Linked DNA regions of Canis lupus familiaris. The protein of the gene in region 2 purifies or fractionates together with the protein of the main gene of each other region. This does not show direct contact. Links are inferred from orthologs where the notes say so. Each region holds a gene or a part of one and is shown on either strand. Other genes may lie near its edges.

Region 1 (4,653 bases), on a different chromosome or scaffold from region 2:
CCTTATGCAGCTCCCAGAATGAGAGGTATACATGTCCCAGGCCCCAGATGGTCTGGGAATCACAGGGAAAAGGGACCAAGAGGCCTCAGCTTCAGCCCCTACCCCTTTCTCCAACCTCTAGGACTCTTCTCCTGAGCTTTTAGGCTCTTCCTGCCTTGGAGCCTTGCATAGGCTCAACTCCCTCTACTTTTTCTCCATTCTTCACAGCTGGGGTCATTTCTGCAGCCCTAGGAAAGAAGGGCACTTTCCATCCATGTCATCCTCTTGCCCATCTGTGTTGGTGCCTCTGCACACTAGGAGGGGAACCCCTGTGTTTATCTCTGTACCTGGCAGCCAACTAGCCCAGGACGGAATGACCAGCACATTGCCCTCCAGAGGGCCAGGCTGTCTGGGACCCTACACTTTCTAGTTGATTAGCAAATGTGTAAGTGACAGGTGTTTTCACAACCACTAGCTTTTTAAAAAACTCCCTAAACAGCCTGGAAATATACACAGCAGATGGCATGATCCCTATTTTAAAGACAAGGAAACCAAGATGATACCAACTGTCCAGGATTCATGGAGCCAGGCAGCATCTCAGCCAAGATTTGAAGGGGCCAAGGCTCTCCCACGGAGAGTGTGTACTCCTTATACACCCCAGTGCCTTCTGAATATCTCCATCTGCACACCATCCTCCCAGCCCCAACGTAGAGGTCCAAAACAGAACCCCTGATCATCCAGGCTCTGTTGTCCCCTTCATTTGTTTAAACCACACATCTGGGAGTTACTTTGCCCTCCTCTCTCCCCCCTACTCCATCTCCAGGTCCTGCTGGACCCACCTCCAGACATATCTGGAACTGGGCCCCTTCTCTCCTCCCTCCTGGCCACTTCTGTAGTCCAAGCTACCATTTCCCATTTGAATTCCAGCAGTGACTTGCTAACCACCTGCTACCTCCTTCCACCCTTGACTCTGGTTCATTCTCCACACCTCAGCCAAAGGGAGTACTTATTATTTTTTAAGACTTAAAACAAAAAGTAATCTCTATACCCAACATGGGGCTCGAACAACTCTGAGATCAAGAATCACATGTTCTACTGCGTCATTCACACGCCCCCAGACAGAGCTTTTAAAATCTAAGGCTTGGGCAGCCCAGGTGGCTCAGTGGTTTAGCGCCGCCTTCAGCCCAGGACCTAATGCTGGAGACCCAGGATCGAGTCCCACATCAGGCTCCCTTCATGGAGCCTGCTTCTCCCTTTGCCCATGTCTCTGCCTCTCACTCTGTGTCTGTCTGTCATGAATAAATAAATAAAATCTTTAAAAAAATAAAACCTAAGGCTTACTGTGTTTCTTAACTACTGAAACCCTTCAAAGGCCTCCTGCTTTTCTGAGAATACAAGCCAAACTACTAAGGTACAGTATGATTTGGCCCCTGCCTTTCCAAAGGCCTCTTCTGTCCCTCTCCTTCCCCCAGGAAGCTCTAGTTAGGTCTTCTCTCATTTCTCCTACCACAACAAGATCTTTCCTATCTCAGGACCTTTGCACATATAACCTCTTGCTTCTCTCCCTTTTCTGGAGGCCCGTTCATTCCCTCCTTCAGGTCTTGGTTTAAATGTCACTTCCTCAGAATTCTTGCCTGACCAATAAATAAGACCTCCTGCTATAAGCTATCACAAGATCTTATTCTTCTCTTTGTACAATTTACCACAACATGTAACAAACATATGTGTGTTTTTTACTCTCTCCCCAGTGGACCAGGGCAGAGATCTTGACTCTCTTGTTGGACCTGTGTCTCTAGCACATAACAGACGGTCTGGCAGATAGTAGGCACTTGATAACTTACCTGTGAAGGAATGAATAAGAGAATGAATGGGGTGGGGAGGAGCGATTCTTAAGGATTTCCTTTTTGTTCTCCTATGCCATTCAGTCTCTGCTACCCATCAGAGAAGCCAGGAACAGGGTTCTGTGTGGGGGCTAAAGGATGATCAGGCTCTCTTGAGGCAAGGCACTCAGCTGGGGTTTCCAAAGCTCATTCATTTTTCATCAGATCTGGGGTCTTACCATGGGCTCCAGAGGCCGCAGGTTCCCTGCTCAGATTCTGTTCCTACTCTGCCTGGATTCCTCTGGAAGGCTCCATCCCTCCCGTTACCTCCCACCTCAGCATCCCAGACCAGCCTACCTGGGCCTCCCCCAGACCCAGCTCGATGGCTTCCAGGGAGCGACGCAGGAGGACACATCGCTCCTGTGAGCCGGGCTCCGCCTCACCAGCTTCATGAGCTACCAAGGGAGCGAGAAGGGCACGATGCTCCCCGCGCAGGGTCTCCAGGCCTTGGATGACGGCCTTGGTGCCCAGCACGATCTCATCCTGGCTCAGCTTCTCCTCCCGCGGAAGCACCATCGTAGCCATGGCGTGCCGCCTGTGAGGGCGAGGGGGCGGGCAGGCGGGTGCCGGGCCTGGGGCCACACCGCCGTCCGCCCCGGATTAGGTAAACACCTCGGGTCCCCGGACGCCTGGGTCCCCAGGGTGCCTGGGTCCCCAAGACGGCAACCCGTGCCGTGCCGGCGCTCGGCCTGCAGGGGGCGCGCCCAGCTCGCCTCGGCCGGGGAGACGCAATGCGGTGAGGCCGGTGAGGCTGGACTCGAATTGGGCCCAGACCACCCGCTCAGGCCGGCTTAGGCGGCAGCCTCGGGACTTCCCCGGGGACTCCCTTAGTCAGGACGGGGAGCGCTGGAGGGCGGTCCTACGGGGATCATGGAGGCTCACTCGCATTGGGGAGACCCCAGCCCTTCTAGGAGATCCAGCCCCAAGCCCTCGGGCAGCCCCTTCCCCAACAACTAGGCCGAGTCACAGAGCCCCTCCTCTAGGGAAGGCCGACCATTTGGAGACCCTCCCCCTAGAGAAGCCTCGAAATCTCGGCTTCTTCATCCTCCCCCAACCAGGCCGCGCCCACAATGACCCCTCCCCATAGGTCGACGCGACGCCCCGCGGACCCCTCCCCTAAAAAGGCCGAGCTCCCGCCCCCGGCCACCCAGGACCGCGCCCCCTCCCAGCAGGCCGGCCTTGTTCTCCCGCACGCTGCGCCCATGATGACCGTCCCCTAGGCCGACCCAGGGGCCCCTCTCCTGGCCGTATCGGCCCGCGCGGACCTACGCCTCCCAGAGGCTCCGGCCCGGGTCCTGCTCAGGTTCCGGCTCCCGCCCCGCTTCACCCGGACCCGCAGCCGAAAGCCGGTCCCGCCGCCTCCATCCCGCCGGCCTTCCCAGAAGTCCTCGCGCCGCCTTAAAGGTGAAGCCTCTACCTCGGCGGCGGCGTCGGAGGGGGCAAAACACGCTCTTCTCTTCCCTCAGGCTGCCTTAAAGGAGCTCGCAGGCCGGGCCCGCTTCGGGCTAGGAGGGGGCGGGGCCATCGCGGGGGCGGGGCACAGAGGGGCGGGTAGTGGGCTGCCTGGAGGCTTCCGTTCCAAGCCTCCACCACCCACGTCCCTGCGGCCTCGGATTCCTCGACTGTGCACCGCCCCGAGGCCTCAGGGGTGTGGAGAGGCTCGGGAGATCCTAACCCTGAGTGCACCCAGTGCTGCGGCCAGAGGACAGGGGGAGAAACCCAGGCGCAGGAAGAGGCCTGGCCTCTTCCGAGTCCAGAGCGAGACTTTTGACACTTACTGATTGATGTTTAACGAGTCCAGAGCGAGACTTTTGACACTTACTGATGTTTAACGAGGTAGTTACCACTTCCTGAGCATTTACTGTGTGTCGGGCGCTTTGATGCTTTAAGTGCATCTATTCATTTAATGCCCACAAAGACCCAATAAAGCGAGCACTGCTATTATCCGCCTCTCGAATATCTGACCCCAGGCTCATTTGTCTCTAGGGACTGGTTATGCCCCTCAACCAACTTTCAGAACTGTCTAAGCCCCTGTGGGATTCGCAGTATCTTAATGCTGCTTCCTGGGAGAAATGCTTCTTGACCCTAACGGAGAAAAAGTGGGCATAGGGCAGCTGGGCATCTGCCGAAACCGAACCCCGTGCCCCTGTGGGTCAACACCACAAGTGCTATTTGTTGACCAGATACCCTAGGCAGTGACGTAATTCCAAGCTCAGAATAAACGTCACCTCCTCAGAAAGCCTTCTTTGATCCCTGACCTCCCATAAAGTCCCCTCCTGCACCTGTTTCTCTCTTTAGCGCTTATCCCTTCTAATATTTTTCTTGTTGGTTTTCGGTCTCCTCCCTAAAGTGCAGGCCAAGACCTGCCTGCCTCGTTGACTCCCACAGTAGCCCCTGGCCAGCCACAAAGAAGCACTCAGTAAATGTTGGTTTTAAAAAAGTGTGGGAGAGTGCACTTACTGGTGTTGCCAAATCCCCTCCAAGCCCCGGTTTTGGTCTGACGCTCTGCAGCCCTGGGTTAGTGGCTATTCTGGCACTGCCCCCACTGCTTCTAGGTCGATGTCATTAGTGACAACAGGATAATCACCTGAGGGACAAAATCTGACAAGGCCTGGCACTGGTACCTATGTGTTACTCATGAATCCAGGTGGGTTCAGACTCAGAGTCCACCAGGTTAAGTGTCCTGGTGGATGCAAGAATCTCCTTGGTATCGTCTCTGACCGAGACATGGTCCTACATCCCTAGGTCAAGTATATCCTATGGTAAGCTCACTACTTCTGCTGTGAGACTGATC
Region 2 (4,629 bases):
AAGGGGGTAGAGGTTATAGTCACTGAATGACTCTGCTTGATATTACATCCTCTTCATACTTCAATTATTTTCAATGCCTGAAAATAGGTGAAACAGAGAAAATATTTTTATACAAAACTGGTTTGAAATAATGAGAATGAAACAAATATACCAATATATTTAGAGACACTTTAGCCAACAGCTTAAGCCACTTCTCTCAAATTAAAAAGATGCCAATATTAAATGATTTGATCCCTTTTCCTTATATTTAGCTTCTGAGTAGAGTTATGAACAGTATAATGCTTAAAACGTCAGTCCTTTGTTTTTATTCTCCCCAAGAGAGTTATGAGTGAGCCTATGTAGGAATTACATTTTTCTTTTTAAGATTTTATTCATTTATGAGACCCAGAGAGAGAGAGAGAGAGAGAGAGAGAGAGGCAGAGACACAGGCAGAGGGAGAAGCAGGCTCCCTGAAGGGAGCCCGACATGGGACTCGATCCCGAGTCTCCAGGATCACGGCCTGAGCCAAAGGCAGATGCTCAACTGCTCAGCCACCCAGGCATCCCTACATTTTGTTTAAAAAAAAAAAAAAAAAAGACGGTTAATAAAATGAAAGTCAACAGTCAGTGACATTCTTAAGCCAAAGACCATGATCTAGCAATGTTATATTCCTGATAGCTGTAAAAAACAAAAGTCGGGGTGGGGGAGGGGGAGAGGGATAGTATAAATAAGAGGTACACGTAGTAAGAAAAGTAACAGTGAAATAAGCAATTCCAGCTCTTGTTACCCAGGGGCAACCTTGTATTAAACTATTTACCTATGTGTTTAGGAAAACTCAACTTGTCAAGGTATTATGCAAGCCAGAAGACCAGCCATATAAAACTGGGTTCTAAAAGAATCAATATTATTCATACATTTTTATCTTCCCAGAAACAAACCCAGTGTTTTTGAAATGTTTTGCTTGATAATTAAAAAATAATTTAAAAGTTTCTCTACATATTATTTAATTTTCCAACAACTTATAACTAATGAGGCTTATATACTCCTCAATCATGGTTTAAGACTGACTGATGTAAGGCTTTAAAAACTAAAAACCACAATCCTTTGGATCAGCAATGAAACAAACCTGTAATTAATTATACTTTTATAGTTAATTACTTCAAGTCTTAAAAACCTAGTCTGGCTAGGTTAGCTATCTCCCTCATGTGCTGAACAGCTGTCACTACACTGGGATCAGTGAAATGCTACAACTTAGTTATATTTAACAAAAGGCCCTGGTCTATCCTCTCTGCAAATGAGATAGGAGTTCAAAGGTTACACATGAATCCCCACCTCCCTTTTTTTAGATTTTGAGAGAGAGAGAGAGAAAGAGCGAGCGCACACACAAGTAAAGTGGAGGGAGTAGGAGAGGGAGAGAAAGAATTTCAATCTGACTCTGTACTGAGCATGAAGCCTAATGTGGGGCTTGATCTCATGACGCTGAGATCATGACAATGAGCTGAAATCAAGAATTGGATGCTTAGCCAAATGAGCCATCCAGGTGCCCCCACACATGAATTCTAATGTGAGGTGAGGACAATACCCCAAAAGAATAAACTTTTATCTGTACCTATATTTATGCTTTAAAAATCCCTTTGCTCACTTACACTTCCAGAAAAGACAGCTTGCCTCTACTGAACACCTGCTCTGTCCTAGGTAACAACATTTTAGCTTGTATAATTCTCAAGAGTAACTTTTATTTCACAAAGGGGCTCAACAAGCCATTACTTCAAATGGGGAAAAACAGAGGCCATCTCTAATTGGCAGGAAAACTATCTACTATATGTAACACAAGATTAAACACCTATTACTTTGACAGTCTTGTTAAAAATGATATGCTCCATCTAATAAATGCTTTCCTTATATGGGAAACAGAGGAACAAGGCTACCACACAACATACATCCAGAGGAAGCACATGCTCAAGATAACTGGCCTAGTCTCTTCAGTAAGTCAATGTCATTAAAAAGGGGAATTTTTCTAAATTAAAAGAGAACTAGGAGATCTAACAGAATGTAAACAGTGGTTGCGGATTATACGCTGGTTTTAGGTAAACCAGCTGTTAAGGACTGGGAGGGAAAAATTAGAGAAATCTGAGTATGTATTAAGATAATACTAATTATCTAATTAGATAAAATATTATTATAATATCAGGTACAATACTGTTATTGTGGTTATGGAAAAAAAGTTGTTTTATAGAAATTATTAGTTTTAGACCATAAATACATAATTTGTTTTCATGCTTAATTTAAAAGGAGTCAAAACAAGAAAGAAATTAAATATTAAAAAAGTAACTTGCTGGAGGTAGAAAAGTTAGGATTCAAACTTAGATGGAACTCCAGTGTCTATATTCTTTTCACAATGTCACTCTCTTTTAAAATCCTATGCTGTGTGGACAAAAAATTTCATTAGATTGTTGGGAAATGTGATTCCTTCAGAATATTGCTTAATTCTCTACTCAAACTTAGAGTCAATCTTACTCAATATGTCAAAGTAAAAAAAGTCAGTTTATTTGCATCTTGCTTTAGTATTTGTCTGAAACAGTTAACCATCATAATTATTTTAGTATTTTTAGTATCCAAAGCACAGTATCTGGGACTTTTCTAAACCACAAAAACCAGAGTTTCTGCTCTATGATGAAATACTAGGCAGCTTATTAATTAACTAGTTGTGCTGCTTAAGAAAATGTTCAGAACACACAAGCAGGCTAGGGACGTCTGGGTGGCTCAGTGGTTGAGTGTCTGCCTTTTTGGTTTAAAGACTGATCCTGGAAAAAAAAAAAAAAAAAAAAAAAGACTGATCCTGGGATCTGAGATCAAGTTCTGCATTGGGCTCCTTGTGAGGAGCCTGTTTCTCCCTCTGCCTATGTCTCTGCCTCTTTCTCTGTCTCTCATGAATAAATAAATCTTTAAGAAAATAAATAAAAATTAAAAAGCAGGCTACAAAGAAACATATGTACTAAAATAGTATATTATTAGAGTATTCAATAATTTAAGATTAATTTAAAAATCATAATATGCAAAGAAAGCACCTGAAAGATATACATAATATATTGGGTGGTATTTCTGGATGATATATATCTCATACTTTGTGGTAAGTTTTTTGAAAAAAAATTCAAGTTCTTATTAATAAATCAAAGAGATACTTATTTTGGACCATTAAAACAGAAGCTTAAGAACTATCAATCAATATTAATTGCTGGCAATGATACAATAATAATGGACAGTATCCTTGTCTAAGAGGCAATCTGTCCTAATCTTGCTGGAGAGCAGTGTATTAACATGTATCAAGAGCCTTAGAAATGTTCTGCTTTCTTGTAATTTCACTTCTGGGAATCTAAAAATAACCTAAAAGGTGAGGGGACACAAAGATATTTCACACTTGAAATTTTCCAAACTGAAATTTCCATATATGAAATTTGAAATGTGAGACATTTTATATTAAGTAGAGAAAAAATTGACATAAATTAATCCTATGTCTAATAAAAGGGAATAATTATCCATGGTGTATATCTATTAGATTAACTATAAGAGCTCTGAAAAATAATCCAGTAGGTTAGTTTACAAATGTTAACACAAATTTGAAAATAGAGTATGATCTGAACTATGAAAAAAGACCAAAAGAAATCATGCCAAGTTATTTTTATAATCACATACATTAAAAAAGAACCCAGTTAATATGAGAATCCAAAAAAAAAGTAGTATTTAACAACCAATGGCTGAACATTTCCATGTAGAACTATGATTCAAAAGCCAGATATAAACTACGAACCTGTGGGTAACGTGTAAAGATTATACTTGTTTGCCTCCTCCACCTCGAACTGCTACTGGCTGGCTATTCTGGACAAATGCGCCTCCTCCACGAATTGCACTTGGATGAGTTGGAGAAGCTGCTGGATGTTGCCCGGGACGAATAGGTTTAGCTAACATGAAGAACAAAAAGTGACTTTAGGATAAATCTTAACACATGATTGTAGTGATGTTTTAGGAGACGTCTCTTCTCGATTCACAAGAATTCCCAAATGTGGTTTTCCTTTTGCCTTTCTGTTACTAAGTCTTCTCTTTTCTGTTGTATCTTTTTCTCCAGGACCTATATAATCCCTATTCTCTTAAAAACCTTATTCCTGTATGAATGATTTATTCTGAAGCATGTCATATTACTCCTGGCAACTTATTTTCTTGCAAGTCAGTCTTTAAGAATACTCATCTCTATAGTTTCACCTCTTCTGATCACTCTTGCATGCTTGTCTAGTTCTTACTTATCTTCTTGTCCTGTAAATGTGGCTATTCCTCATTTTGCTTGTTATTCGCAACAATGCCACTCTTTGGTAAGTTAGAAATAAAGACAAATACCAACTTGACAACACATAATCACCAATTAGATTGTTTTCAAGTAAGTAAAAACATTCAAACCAAGCAAAGTTTAAATGGTTTTAAGGTATTCTACTAACCAATTTGTGCAGAATGTCCTCTTCTGGCCATATTCTTTGACCTGACTGCTTCCTTTATACGATCTACTTCTTGCTGATAGCGTTTGCGATCACGAGATGCATTTTCTTTGGCTTCCTTCAGTGCTGACTCCAAAGCTTTCACTCTTTCAGCAGTAGCTCTAAG

Evidence for each region. The genes of interacting proteins can lie anywhere in the genome.
Region 1: the proteins of KIF5B (region 2) and KLC2 fractionate together in Homo sapiens (co-fractionation; 7 studies listed by BioGRID and IntAct, with this or other methods). This does not show direct contact. The link is inferred for Canis lupus familiaris from reciprocal best matches to the Homo sapiens genes KIF5B and KLC2.

The regions. Positions count from the first base shown.
Region 1 is NC_049239.1:51,544,923-51,549,575, forward strand, and holds the start of KLC2 (kinesin light chain 2), read right to left. Parts: upstream 3,394-4,653; 5' UTR 3,277-3,393; intron 3,271-3,276; exon of another isoform or gene 3,125-3,270; intron 2,432-3,124; 5' UTR 2,385-2,431; coding exon 2,157-2,384; intron 1-2,156. UniProt on the Homo sapiens protein: Kinesin is a microtubule-associated force-producing protein that plays a role in organelle transport. The light chain functions in coupling of cargo to the heavy chain or in the modulation of its ATPase activity.
Region 2 is NC_049223.1:12,714,361-12,718,989, reverse strand, and holds part of KIF5B (kinesin-1 heavy chain), read right to left. Parts: coding exon 4,467-4,629; intron 3,939-4,466; coding exon 3,808-3,938; 3' UTR 3,788-3,807; intron 78-3,787; 3' UTR 1-77. UniProt on the Homo sapiens protein: Microtubule-dependent motor required for normal distribution of mitochondria and lysosomes. Can induce formation of neurite-like membrane protrusions in non-neuronal cells in a ZFYVE27-dependent manner.